Linked DNA regions of Canis lupus familiaris. The protein of the gene in region 2 interacts with the protein of the main gene of each other region in a pairwise test. Links are inferred from orthologs where the notes say so. Each region holds a gene or a part of one and is shown on either strand. Other genes may lie near its edges.

Region 1 (6,219 bases), on a different chromosome or scaffold from region 2:
CAGACCCCACAACAGGAGGAGCTCAGGAAACACTGGGCGGGTGGCTACATGGCTGGAACCTGGAGACATTAGGGGAGTTGTCTAACCACAAAGCAGCAGCAGAGCGGGGTACCGTCCAGGACAATTGGATCCTGACCCTGGGGAGTCCAATCCTAGAGCTGTGTTGCTCCCCGATATTTGCTTAAGAGTTTGGCCACCTGGGTTGGAATCCCTGCCTCACTAATTTACTGTGTGTCCTTGGGCAGGGCCTTCAACCTCTCTGAGCCCCAGGCTCTTCATATATAAAATAAGCACATTAACGATTCTAACTGTGGTTGATTAAATGAAATGATACCAGGAAAACAGTAACAACTGGCCCAGCAGGAGCGCCTGCTAATAATTGCAGCAGCGATATGGTCAGTACCACCTTCCTGCTTTGAGAGTTTATGGGGGCAGGGGCCGAAGCTGCCCCCCCACTTGCCGCCTCCCCAAGCGGGGGACCTGGGTGTGCCAAGAGCGTCCCCCTGCTGGTTGGACAGGTTTTGGAGAGGGCATGCAGAGGCACGGAGCCCAGGCGGGGCTGGCCAGGGTTAATTAGAGGGAGCTGGCCAAGAGGCGCTGGGGGTGAGGGGCTGAGCAGAGGCTGAACCTCCAGAGCCCCTGGAGCATCGGTGTGCGAGGCCATGGGCCGGGGCTTCCATTCTGCCAGACTCAGACGCCAAAAACGGCGCCTGCGATCTCGGCTCCAGAAGCCCAGGCAGCAGCCAGAGGTGAGTGGGCATCGGGGAGCCCCGCTCCACTCCGGTCCCGGTCAGCTCCTCCTGACCTGGAAACCCACCTCCCCGAGACTCTGCCTTAGGCTCCCTGCCTGCTCCTCCAGCTGGCTTCCCTGCATGGCGTGTCTGCGTGTCTCGGCCCGCTCGGACGCCCTCTGGGTCCGCGTGCTTACTGCCTCACCTCCCTGTCCCTGACTCTGTGTTGCGGCCCCACAGCGGCTGCAGCAGGAGAACCATGAGCTCCGCCAGGGCCTGGCAGCCCGGGGAGCCGAGTGGGAGGCCAGAGCGGTGGAGCTGGAGGGGGACGTGGAGGCCCTGCGGGCCCAGCTCGGGGAGCAGCGTTCAGAGCAGCAGGACAGCGGGCGTGAGCGGGCACGGGCCCTCACTGAACTCAGCGAGCAGAACCTCCGGCTCAGCCAGCAGCTCGCCCAGGTGGGAGCATGCTGACCCCACATCCCCAGGCAGGACCAGGGCAGATGGCTGTGTCCCCGTGTGGGGGTGGGTGCACTGGGCTTGGTGGTAAGGCTTGGACCAGCGAGGCCTCCCCCGCCTTCCCCTCTACAGGCCTCCCAGACTGAGCAGGAACTTCAGAGGGAACTGGATGGCCTTCGGGGGCAGTGCCAGGCTCAGGTCCTGGCAGGAGCAGAGCTGAGGATGCGGCTGGAGAGTCTGCAAGGGGAGGTGAGTCCCAGCTGGGGCTGGGGGCCGTCTGGGGCTGGCCCAGCACTTCCCCTCCAGCCCTGAGGTCTTTCCCCAGAACCAGATGCTGCAGAGCCGCCGGCAGGACCTGGAGGCCCAGATCCGGGACCTGCGCGAGGAGGTGGAGAAGGGCCAGGGCAGGCTACAGGCAACCCATGAAGAGCTGCTGCTGCTGAGGCGCGAGAAGCGAGAGCATAGCCTGGAGGTGACCAGTGGGGCTGGGCGGGGTGGGTGCATCTGACCAGGGCATTGACCACTGCCTCAGGGCTTCCTGGGAGATGAGGCCAAGCTGGATCACTGGGAGCCCCAGAAGCTGGGCCAGGAGAGCCTGGGCATTAGCCAAAGGGCAAGTGGGAGCCTCAGAAGGGTATTGAGCAGGGGTGGTATGCTTTTAGAGGGCATCAGAGCCTGGCACTTGGGAGGCCAGGGCGGAGGCTGGGGCCAGAGATGACCGGGACTTGGACTAGGTCTGGGGCAGTGGAGATGAGCAAAAGGAAATGACAAGAGGCAGCATGGGCCGATGTTCGAGGTCTTTGTGGTCAAATAATATGGGCTCTTATCCCAACACCCCTTCTTACTATTGTGGGACGCCCAGCCTCAGTTTCCTTGTCTGCGAGATGGGATGGGAATGGTAGAGCGCCGCGGTGAGGGTGAGACACGAGTAGGGCGCTGGATGACCCATTAACGATTTGGGCCAACAGGTCGGGGGAAGGGGAGGGACTCTGCCAGGTGACCTGATGGGGCGGGGCTGGAGGGAGGGTGATGGGAAAATTTAAAGCGAGGGCACCTGTCCGCACCCTACTTTATAGATGAGGAAATTGGTATCCGCCAGGGGCAACTGCGCGCCCAAGGCCGCCGGCCGTCGGCCGTCCAGAGAGGAGCCAGCTGCTGGGGCGCCACGGCGCGCGGGCTGCCCGGCTCTCGGTGGCGCGCCGGCGCCCCCAGCAGGTCGAGGCGGGATGAGGCCGCCGGGCGCACGGGGCGGACTGCGCATGCTCCTGTCCGCCTGTCTGTCCCTCCGCAGCTGGAGCGCGCGCGCTGCGAGGCGGGGGAGGCGTTGAGAGCGCTGCGGGGGCTGCAGAGGCGCGTCTCGGAGCTGGAGGAGGAGTCGCGCCTTCGGGACGCCGACTTGTCGGGAGCCTCACTGCAGTCGGAGCTGGCTCACAGCCTCGACAGCGGCCAGGACCCGAAGGCTGACGCCCGCGGAGCTGCCCCGGTGAGCTGGCGCCCCCCGGCCCCCGTGCCCTGCAGACTCCGCCGCGCCCCCTTCGCGCAGGAGGTCCGACACCTCGCTGACCCATCCCTTTGGTCAACAGAACACTCCGTCCCCCGAGATCCAAGAAGCGTTCAGCCACCAGCCTTCGCCCCAAGAGGAGAGCTTGGAGCCTCCCAAGAAGCGAGCATCCCTGAGGCCAGGGGATATACTAGAGGAGAAGGAGGCCGAAGTGGCCGGGCTTCAGGATGAGGTGTGGGAGTGGGAGCATAGCGCTGGACGCGGAGCCCATTCCAACGCCAGTTTCTCTTGCCCATCTACACCTCTGAGCCTGCGCCCCTCTACCTGGATCTATCTTCATCCCAACAAACCTGTAGTCATGCTTCAAGAGCTGGCCGTACGCCACCTCTTCCAGGAAGACTTCCTGGACCACATTCCCCTCCTTGGTCCCACCTCCTAGTGCTTCCACCAGCATCCTTTCTGCAGACTTACACCACCCAACCGACCCTGCCCCACCTCACCCTGCGCCAGCCCGGGGGCTCAGCTTGGTCTCCAGCACAGGCTGCGGCTGCGGGGAGGGTCTGTGGGGCTGGCGGAGGGCCTGGCTGCCCCTCCTCACCTTTCCCTGCCCACAGGTCGCGCTGCAGCGGGCAGAGCTACAGTCTCTGCGGGAGGAGCTGCAAAGGCAGAAGGAGCTGCGGACGCATGGCGACCCCGACGAGGCCCTCAGCGGCGCCCTCTCGGACCGGGACGAAGCTGTGAACAAGTGAGCCTCTCCACCGTCCACCCCGGCCTCCGCACCCACCAGCGGCCCTCCGACCCTGTTTTCGGTGTTAGCCGCACCGCTCCCGTCCGGGTCCGGCAGCTCCCGCCACCCCCGGGCCCACTCTCTGCCCCTCTTGCCCGCAGGGCGCTGGAACTGTCCCTGGAGCTCGGCCGCGTCTCTCTGGAGCGGGACTCGCTCTCCCGGGAGCTGCTTCGCACTATCCGCCAGAAGGTGGCGCTGACGCAAGAGCTGGAGGCCTGGCAGGTGAGGGGCGGGGCCGGCGGGGGCGGGGCCGGGGCCGGCGTCTGGGAGGCGTGGCCGACACGTGGCCACGCGGACCGACTGAGCCGCCCGCCCGCAGGACGACATGCAGGTGGTGATCGGCCAGCAGCTGCGCTCCCAACGACAGAAGGAGCTAAGTGCGGCGGGAGCCGTCCCGCGCCGCGCCGCCCCGCGCTTCTCGCTGCGCCTGGGTCCTGGGCCCGCCGGCGGCTTCCTAAGCAACCTCTTCCGAAGGACCTGAAGGCCGGGCCATGGGGGCCGCCGGTGCCTTCTGGCTTCCTTTCCTCTAATGGTCCTGAGCGTCTTCCAGAGGGGCCTGGTGCCCTCCCCACCCCGGGAAGCTGGGCAAAGGCTCGTTGGGAGCAGGGACCAGCTTTGGGGGCCAAGGGCCCCAGGTAGGTGGCGGGGCAGGTGAGGCAGAGCTGAGTTTTGAATCTCTATAGGTCTATATTTTCTAAGGGCCTGGCGCGCTGCAGGGCAGGGATGAGGGTGGGTATTTATGTATCAAGATCAAACAGAGTAATATATAAAAATCATGACACCAACTCAGCCTCCATTCTTGAGAAGAACATGCATGGAACAATAGCCTAAAAATTTACTTATTTAATAAAATAAAAAAAAGCAATCTAAATCCCTGGGATGATGGAAGGGGTGTTGCCAGAGGTCAGAAGGACAGGGAGAAGGCGCGGTAGCCGAGATTGGTGAAAACATCCACTCGGGAGCTGTTACCTGCGGCTGTCAGGACCTGGAAGCAGGAGGGCAGTGGCTGGCATGTCCACACACACGTGCCCTACCCCCCCCCATGGACCCCCACAGCCCCTTGCAGGACCCACCTTGCACTCGGGTGCTGCTGGCTGCTGGTTGAGACTAAGGCTAAGCAGCCCTGGGGAGGAGCCAGGCACCTGCGCCTTGAGCTCCCCACTCAGCTGCCACTGGTTGACACAGCGGCCCTGGCCAGCTGACAGAATCTGGAGGGCAGGGAGGGAGTCGGGAGTCAGGATTGGAGAGGGATACTGGGCAAAGGTGGCAGAAGCAAGACAGAGGGCCTCACCAGGTCCTGGTAGAAGGTAACATGTTTCTGTGGCACCCGTATGGGGAAAATAGTCGTGGGTGTGGAGGATCGGAGGTGCCAGAGGGTGAGCGCTGGGCCTCCTCCGCAGACCTGGGCAGAAAGGTGGGGGGCCCCAACCACTGTGAGCATAGTCCCTCAGTTGGCAGGGCCCGGAGTGGTCACCCATTCTGCACCTTGCCCCGCTTACCATCCAGTCTGAGTCAGTTGCCAAACAGCTGATCCAACGCCCATTGTGTGGCCTCGAGCACTCCTAGGGGTGAGGAGGAGAAGAGAGGAGGAGATGAAGACACAGGGGATGCCCAGGGCGGTGAAAGGGAGGACGGGGCCTGGTACGTGCCCTCACCTCATGCTTATATACCTCGATGGTCTGGACTTCCTTGGCTGTGCGGAGGTCTGTGCGGGAAGAACCATGAGAAGCATCCTGCTCACCCCAGTCTCCGTTGCCATGTTTCCCTCCAACCGGACACTACGCTAACCTACCCCAAAGTCGCACAGCTCCATCCTCTCCACCTGACAGCACCTCGGGACTCCGCTCCCGCAGCGCCAGGCAGTGGACATAGTCTGTGTGGCCCCGGAGGGCCCGCTGCAAGAGGAAGCCCAGTGTCAGGAGATCCAGGAAGAATGACCCTACGACCATCCAGCCCTGACCACCCCAGCTCCATGGCCTTCTCACTGTGAAGGTCCCAGTCTCAAGGTCCATTGTATGCAACTGACAGTCTCCCCCTGCCAGGATGAGAGAATTCTCCTGCAGAAGAGGGAAGGGTGGAATCGCAAGTCAGCATCAAATCAGGACAGGGAGAGGAAAAAGGCTTTAAGTTTGGGCAGGGCAGAGCCCCGGTACAAAGGGCTCAGACCTTGGGGACGAGAAGCAAAGCATTGATCTCAGGCACTTCTAGGCTGGTCCTGGGAGAGAGAAAACGAGGTGAGCTCTGGTGAGGCAGTCCCTTCACCCCCAAGTACCTTCTACCCATTACCCACATGGCTCTCACTCACCTGTATGGGGGCTGACGCCGCCACAGCTCCTTACAACCCTTGGTGGAGGGAAATGCTACATGAGGTCAGAGGCTCTCTGGGACCAGGCACCCCAGCCCATCCCCCAATTCCACACTCCTTACCTTCTTGAGGATCTCTGCCCAAAGCCAGGCCTTCACTTCCCCATCCCCAGCACTGAGCAGATGTCGATCTGTGGAGACCATGCTGTAGACCGGTCCATCATGGGCTAGATGGAAATGAAGACCCTGAGTGACCCTGTCCTGCTGCCCTCCCCTACCTGGGGGTTCTCTAAGCCAGACACAATGGCAGCACCCACCTTGGAATGTCACCACTGGCTTCTTACTTTCTTCTTTGGCCTCAGAACTCAGAGCAGCAGACAAGCTGAAGGAATAGGGGAGGGGAGCCTGAGAGTCAGAAGCCGAGGGCGCCAGTCCCAGAG
Region 2 (8,098 bases):
TCAGATGGGAAGGACATCATAGGATCAGGGTTGCAACCCCGGAGCCAGTGAATTGAGCACATCAGGATCAGATGGGAGGGGCCGGTGGCCTAGGGACTCCGTGGGGGCTGGGCAGGAGGCAGGACCTTCTCGCGGATCTCCAGGGCGCGCTGGCAGAGGGGCTCCGCCTCCCGGTACCGCCCGCGCTTCCCGTAGAGCACAGCCAGGTTGTTGAGGGTGGCAGCCACCTGCAGGGTCGGGGAGGCAGGTCAGGGGCGGTAGGCTCCACCCCACGGCCCTCACTCCTGGGCCCCCACTCACCGCAGGGTGCTCAGGGCCCAGTGTCTGCTCCCGGATCTGCAGGGCATCATGGAGAAGGTCTGTGGCCTCTTTGTACTTGTTCTGGTCCCTGTGATGTGGCCCAGGGATGGAGGGGGGTCAGACATGCTGGGGCAGCACCTGCCGGGCCAAGCCTGGGTGGCAGGCGCCCTTCCATGGTCGCTTGTGAGCCACACTTTCCAAGTCTGGCACAGGGTCCCTTTGCTGTCAAGCCTCCAGCCCCCACAGGTCTCTTGCCTATGGTTGTCTGACTCCTTGCTTGGATCACTGGCTTCTCCAGATCCCTGTCGACACCCCCTGCTACCACCAATCCAGGTGCCCCATGCTGGCAGAGTGGGACGCCAGCTCCCCTGCCCCCAGCAATGGGTCCGTGGCCGGCCGCAGCCCTCACCGGTACACCAGCGCCAGGATGTTGAGCATGGTGGCCACATCGGGGTGGCAGTGGCCCGAGCTCCGTTCCAGGTCCTCTAAGGCCTGGCGGCACAGTGGCACAGCAACCTCGTAGCGGCCCTGCCCTGCGTACTGGATCACAAGGTTGTGCAGGGTCCGAAGGCGGGCTGGGATCTCGTAGCCACCCTGCTGAGCCGCTGCCGCCCCCGCTGCCTCAGGGCCTGCGAGTGGCAGATGGACATCAGGTCACTGCCAGCCTCCCACCCTTCCCATCCCCAAAAAGAGGAACATACTCCAGGGCTATAGCTGCCTCACTGGCCCATTGGTCCCTGGGATGACGGATCCCCGCACTGACCTTGGAGATTGGTTCATGGGATGTGAACGCGGGGTCCGCCTGGCGGGTGCGGCTGTGGCACGCCTGGTTTCACAGCTTCCAGCCTCGGCTGTCATGCGCCCTGGCCCGGCCCCTTGCCTCATGCTCCTGCCGCCCTGCCCTGACATCCACCTTGGGTCTCCGTCCCTCCCCGGCCTCAGCCTCTTATCCTCCGTGGCCGAGTGGCCCAACAATTGCGTGCTCCCCCACACCCACCTTTCCTCTCTTCCTCCTCGCTGGAGAACAGGGGGGTTAGGCTGTCTCGTCGAGGAGGGGATTCAGGCCGCTGCAGAGGGCAGGAAAGTGAGGAGTCAAAGAGGGCTGGGAGTTTGCTTTAGAGACCAGGGTCCTGGACCTCCGAGTTTGAGGGGGGTTTCTGAGGGCTTGGGGAAGATCTGGGGATTTTGTGGAAGCTGGGAGGGCTTCTGTGGAAATTTTACTGAGTCTGGGGGTTGTGGAACCCTGTCGAAGGTCTAGGGCTTCTTTGGAGGGTCTAGGGCACTGGGGGCTCCATGGAGTGGTACAGGTCTGTGGGGGATCTAAGGAGGATGGGGGCCCCCTGGCTTGCCCAGCCCTGCAGCACCTGGCTCTCGGCAGGGGGGTCATACTGGCGCAGCTGCCCCAGGAACTCCAGGTGGCTCTTCTCCTCCTCCAGTTGGGCCACGGCCTCCTCGCTGGCCCGGAGGCGCCGCTGCGTCTCCTCCAGCTCCTCCCGCAGCCACGAGTTCTCCTGGGCCAGCCGCCGGGCCTGCGCTCGCAGCCGCTGCTTCTCCGCCTCCAGGGAGCCCACGTGCGCGGACAGGGCCAGCAGCACCTGCAGGGGGCCGGGGATCAGGGGCCCAGTCCCTCTCCTACCAGGCAGTCCCTGGCCCAACCCAGGGCCTCATGTCATGCCAGAGCACCCCAACTCTTGGCCCTTCCAAGTGACTCTGAGGATGTGCAGAAACTCCCAAGGGCACACCCAAACCCCACCCAGGGACCCTTCTGATTTCATTCAGGCACACAAATCACGTGTAGGGCCACTTCATATCCTACCCATGTGACCCCAACATCTCCCTAGAATCTACAGTTCTATAGATGGATGCCATTGGTTCAGGGGCTCCTGTCACACAAAAGGACCCCCTAATGCCACCCAGGGATCCCATTTCCAGCCTAGAACCCCTCCTCCCCAGGCCTGGCTCCCCTAGGCCTCCCCTGCTCCAGGCTCATCACCCCCTACATACTTGCCTCCCTCATCCCGGGCCTCCTCCCAGCTCTGAGCCTCCCCCCCCATGGCTGGATAGCTGCTCCCCCCCCCATACCTGGGCCTCGCCCAGTCCCAGCTCGATGGCCTCCAGCGCGTGGCTCACCACCTGCTGCTTTTCTTCCAGCAGTTCCAAGCCAGCCACCAGGCCCTGTCCTGCCAGCGCCTCCGCCAGGTGCCTGGCCAGGCCATGGTGCTCTGCTCGCAGGGCCTCCAACCCCTGCACCACTTGTCGCGTCTGCCGCACCAGCTCCTCGGGGCTCAGGCGCTCCGGGCCCAGCCCCACACTTCCAGGGGCTGCCACCTGCACGGACATTGCTGTTCCTGGGGTGGGTAGCAGGGATTGGGGGGTCAGGGCCAGGCAAGCAGGCCCATCAGTCCCTCCTCACCCTGGCCGGCTCCCTGTCCCGCACCCATCCCAGCCAGCTGGCAACTGGAAACATTCTAGTCTAGCTTTGCCTGTCCTCAGCCATGGGCCCTGCCCTGAGGGCCACTCAAAATCTGGGGCAACCAGTGGTCTCGTGGCCTCTCACCTGCCCTCAGCTCACCTGGCCAGCCCTGTCTATCCCAAGGGCCCCAGATACCTGGCCCCAGGACTCCCCGTGTGACCTGGACTGGAGGCACACGCCTCTGCTGGGTGTGTGGGGCGGGGCATGTGGAGGCGGCCTCTCCGTGAGCTCATTCTTAGGGTGTTTTTGTTGGGAACCAGTCGGACCACTGGGGCTGGAGGGGTGGGGCCGGAGGAGAGGGCCAAGGGGCTGGGGCACTGGAAGCAGAGGAGCCCTCTAGATTTAGGGGGATGGGGGGGTGCCTGTGTGTCAGCTCCCAGGGCCTGATGGATCCCAAGGGAACAAGGACTCCACCCTCCACTGCAGACAGGCTCCGCCAGCCCAAGGCATGTTGGGACACACGTGTGACAGGCACGGCCCATGGATGTCACACTAGCCCTGTGACAGCTCAGAGTCTGAGGCCTAGATGCTAATGGGTGGGGGTCTCATGTGTGGCACTTTATGTGGTTGTATGTAGGTGACAAAGTCAATGACACAGCTGCTGGAGCCTCTGTAGCCTCTGTATTCACACACAAGCACACTCACTCCCCTCCCAGAAACAGACCCCAACACACGCACACCCTCCCTTCTTAAATACACAATGCGACACACACGTTCTCCTCCTCTCAGAAACTGAATACCTGCTCTTTCTTTTTTCAAATGCAGTGCAATATATACGTACTTTCTCAGAAACACACCTGCTCGTACACACACACACTCCCCTCTACAAGAAGACGGCTCAACATGCACACTCCTTTCTTTCTTAAAAACATAATATACATTTTCTCTGAAGCAAGACATACAGGACACTCTCTTTCTCCTCTAAAAAATAAAAATACAATCCTACACATCCACATTTTCCTTTCAAAAAACCTAATCCAAGGGTGCCTGGGTGGCTCAGTTAAGCGCCTGCCTTCAGCTCAAGTATGATCCAGGGGTTCCAGAATTGGGTCCCACAATAGGCTTCTCCCTCTCCCTCTGCTCTTCCCCTGGCTCATTCTCTCTCTCAAATAAAATCTTAAAAAAAAAAAAAAAAAACGCAACACACTTACTCAGGCTCGTGCACGCACACCCACATACTCTTTCAGAAACAACACATGTATGCTCTCCCCTCTTGGAAATATAATCCCACACACTGGTGTATTTTCCTCTTGGGAAAAAAAGCCAACACACACAGAAACTCTGTCCCCCCTCACTAGTGAAAAGATAACCAAATCCCAAATCACTCACATTCAGGCTATCTCTTTGCAGTTACCCCCATGACACACCTTTCCCGCACTTATAAGGTCCTGCAAGCAGCTAGCTCTCCATTACATGCCCATCACCTCCTCCAGGCACGCATGCGCGCGCGCGCGCACACACACACACACACACACACACACACACACACACACTCTTGGGATTCACTGTGGACCTATCATCTCCTTCCCCACTTCCCCCAACACCTTGCCCGGCCAGCCAGAGATTCACGCACCTGCACACAGCATACACACAGATACACAGAGCTTCAAACACGGACATACAGACAATTCCTGAACTCAGATTCAGTTGTGGAGACACAGAGAGGTGTTTGCATAGACCCTCTCGGGCATGTGCCTCACTCAAGCCACCAGGGCGCCGTAAGCAGCCTAGTGGTTTGGGTACCTACTTACCTGCTCACGAACATCATACACCAAGACACACAGGAAGGCAGGCACATAATCCACGGATTTTCTACACTGCAGGCTCTCCCCTGCCATCAATCTCTACATATACGTGTGTGCAGACACCAGTCTCTCTCACTATACGTATATATGTGTGTACATGTCTCACCATACTCCGTGTCACACACAAGCCCCACAAAGTTACGATCACACGTTCATGGAGTCATTCAGACAGCTCCATTATTCCCATGATTTTTGCCCACACTCAGTCCCGTGAACAACAAACTCCCTTTCACACACGTACAACCGCACAGCTGACAGTGTTAATCCCAGGCACACCCTCCCCGTCCATGCGGGTCCCACATCGCCCACCTCCCTGCGGCTCCCCGCGCCTTAACAGGCAGAAAGACCGCCCCAGCCACGCAAGCTCTGAGTCACGCACCTAATCCTATAAACAGAGCAACTCCCTCCCATACACACGGCCCCCACCCCCATCATTAGACGCACAGAGGTCCGCCCACGTGTTGCATCTGAGACAGCTCCACGTCGTTCCCACAGTCCCTGGGCGCCCGCACACGGTTACACGGACCATCCCTGTCCCTTCCTCGCCCGCACCCACCGCCGGAGCCCGTCGCGCACACACCTGAGCTTCGTACACCATCACACACACCTGAGCCTCGCACACCGCCTCTCATACGCCCCATCTCCACGCCCGCACCTGCAGGCCAGCCCCCTAAACCGCACACCTTACCGCGGCCGGCCTGGCCCAGCCCCGCGCACCCCGGCTTCCCCACCCCCGCCGTCACAAGGGCCCCCGCCCTCCTCCCCCCAGGCCCCGCCCCGTCTTCGCTCCTGTTTACCTGCGCACCGGGGAGGGGGCGCGGCCCCAGCTGGGCCTCGGGACCCGGGAGGGGGGGCCCCAGGGCGGGGCAGGAGGGCCCAGGGGGCCCAGGAGCCCCAAGGCCCGTCCCCGTCGCCAGGCCAGCGGGCCCCAGGGTGCGCGGGGCCCAGCCCTCACCCTCCGCCCCCATCCTCGCGGTCCCCGGGACTCCCCCGCCCAGCACTCGAGGGGCCCACCTGAGCGCCGGCGGCTCCGGGACCCGCTCCGCCGAGATGCGCCGGGCCGCGTCCCGCACACCGCGCACGCCCGGCGGCTCCCAGCTGCGCCCTGGGTCTCGGGCCGCGGGCGGCTCCTCCGAGGGGCGGGGCGGGCGGAAGCCCCGCCCCCGCAGGTGAGCCCGCCCCGCCCCCCGCCGCTCCCGCGGAGCCCAGCCCGCCCGCCGCGGGGGAAGCGCCAGCGCAGCAGCGGACCCGCGAAGCCCTCCGCGTGCCTGTCGGGCCCGTCGAATCTGAGCGCGAGCCCAGCGCGCTGGAGGCTGCCAAGCCGGGGTGCAGCGCAGCTCGACCCTTGGAAACTAGGGATCCCAGGCCGAGGGCTTTCTAGCAGCGCCCGCCGCCCGGCCTTGCCTTCGGCTGTGCCCGCTGCCTGGGCCCCCCCTATTCCCACAGACGCCATTCGTTAGTCTGGTAGCTTCACAAAGGCCGCTTCCTCCGAGAGGCCTTCCCTACTGGCCCTTTTTTCTTTAAAAAAAAAAACTATTGGAGTTCAATTTGCCAGCATATAGCATAACACCCAGTGCTCATCCCATCAAGTGCCCCCCTCAGTGCCCGTCACCCAGTCACCCCCACCCCCACCCACCTCCCCTTCCACTACCCCTTGTTCGTTTCCCAGAGTTAGGAGTCTCTCATGTTCTGTCCCCCTCTCTGATATTTCCCACTCATTTTTTCTCCTTTCCCCTTTATTACCTTTCACTATTTTTTATATTCCCCAAATGAATGAGACCATATAATGTTTGTCCTTCTCCGATTGACTTATTTCACTCAGCATAATACCCTCCAGTTCCATCCACGTCGAAGCAGATGGTGGGTATTTGTCATTTCTAATGGCTGAGGAATATTCCATTGTATAGTAAACCACATCTTCTTTATCCATTCATCTTTCGATGGACACCGAGGCTCCTTCTACAGTGTGGCTATTGTGGACATTGCTGCTAGAAACATCGGGGTGCAGGTGTCCCGGCGTTTCATTGCATCTGTATCTTTGGGGTAAATCCCCAGCAGTGCAATTGCTGGGTGGTAGGGCAGGTCTATTTTTAACTCTTTGAGGAACCTCCACACAGTTTTCCACAATGGCTGCACCAGTTCACATTCCCACCAACAGTGCAAGAGGGTTCCCTTTTCTCTGCATCCTCTCCAACATTTGTGGTTTCCTGCCTTGTTAATTTTCCCCATTCTCACTGGTGTGAGGTGGTATCTCATTGTGGTTTTGATTTGTATTTCCCCGATGGCCAGTGATGCGGAACATTTTCTCATGTGCGTGTTGGCCATGTCTATGTCTTCCTCTGTGAGATTTCTCTTCGTGTCTTTTGCCCATTTCATTTTTGGATTGTTTGTTTCTTTGCTGTTGAGTTTAATAAGTTCTTATAGATCTTGGATACTAGCCCTTTATCTGATAGGTCATTTGCAAATATCTTCTCCCATTCTGTAGGTTGTCTTTTAGTTTTGTTGACTGTATCCTTTGCTGTGCAAAAGCTTCTTATCTTGATGAAGTCCCAATAGTTCATTTTTGCTTTTGTTTCTCTTGCCTTCATGAATGTATCTTGCAAGAAGTTACTGTGGCCAAGTTCAAAAAGGTGTTGCCTGTGTTCTCCTCTAGGATTTTGATGGAATCTTGTCTCACATTTAGATCTTTCATCCATTTTGAGTTTATCTTTGTGTATGATGTAAGAGAATCGTCCAGTTTCATTCTTCTGCATGTGGATGTCCAATTTTCCCAGCACCATTTATTGAAGAGACTGTTCCAGTGGATAGTCTTTCCTCCTTTGTTGAATATTAGTTGCCCTTTCTAATGACACTGTCTCACCAAAACACTACTCCATTTCCCTGCTTCATCTCTTTTTTAAGGATTTAGTTATTTGACAGACAGAGAGAGCACAAGCAGGGGAGCGTCAGGCAGAGGGAGAGGGAGAAGCAGGCTCCCTCCCCACTTAGCAGGGAGCCAGACTCGATACCAGGACCCTGAGATCACGATTTGAGCCAAAGGCAGATGCTTAACCAGCTGAGTCACACAGGTGTCCCTCCCCTGCCTGCTGTTTACAAAACTTCTCAGGACCTAAGATTATTTTATGTAACTTGGTCATACGATATTTCATTCCATAATATATTAGCGAGGTAATTGCAAGGACTAGAAATTGGGCTCTGGGTTCGAAGTTGATTTTCAGCATTTGGTAGTGAAGGCCTTGGGCAAGTAACTTAACCTCTGTGTGTGTCAATTCTCTGAATCTGTGAAATGGGGATAAAGGCTGCGAAGACTGAATGAGGTACTGTATGGACAGGGCTCTGTATGGTCAGCACTGCATCACTAGCGCTAGAATAGAGTCCGGTGCAAAGTGCTTGCTCACTGAGTAGTTGAATGAATCAAGTCTTAGAAACTTAAATCGGCCAAAGCTGGGCGCACAGGAATCTCAGATCTCAGATCATAGAATTTGGTTCAACGCCAAACTTTTCCAAACCCTTGCAGTAC

Evidence for each region.
Region 1: the proteins of KLC3 (region 2) and BICDL2 interact in binary tests that used the Homo sapiens proteins (3 or more experiments, as listed by UniProt). The two-hybrid records come from large-scale screens. The link is inferred for Canis lupus familiaris from reciprocal best matches to the Homo sapiens genes KLC3 and BICDL2.

What each region holds. Positions count from the first base shown.
Region 1 is NC_049227.1:38,601,864-38,608,082, forward strand, and holds the end of BICDL2 (BICD family-like cargo adapter 2), read left to right. Parts: intron 1-971; coding exon 972-1,187; intron 1,188-1,319; coding exon 1,320-1,436; intron 1,437-1,512; coding exon 1,513-1,659; intron 1,660-2,478; coding exon 2,479-2,670; intron 2,671-2,770; coding exon 2,771-2,920; intron 2,921-3,302; coding exon 3,303-3,433; intron 3,434-3,576; coding exon 3,577-3,697; intron 3,698-3,794; coding exon 3,795-3,956; 3' UTR 3,957-4,260; downstream 4,261-6,219. Other genes in the region: THOC6 (THO complex subunit 6 homolog), read right to left, coding at 4,380-4,460, 4,549-4,683, 4,767-4,877, 4,975-5,037, 5,131-5,180, 5,268-5,370, 5,461-5,532, 5,642-5,690 and 3 more.
Region 2 is NC_049222.1:110,904,495-110,912,592, forward strand, and holds the start of KLC3 (kinesin light chain 3), read right to left. Parts: upstream 5,263-8,098; 5' UTR 5,220-5,262; coding exon 5,159-5,219; intron 2,649-5,158; coding exon 2,383-2,648; intron 1,896-2,382; coding exon 1,665-1,895; intron 1,368-1,664; coding exon 1,298-1,367; intron 930-1,297; coding exon 710-929; intron 389-709; coding exon 301-388; intron 228-300; coding exon 126-227; intron 1-125. UniProt on the Homo sapiens protein: Kinesin is a microtubule-associated force-producing protein that may play a role in organelle transport. Plays a role during spermiogenesis in the development of the sperm tail midpiece and in the normal function of spermatozoa.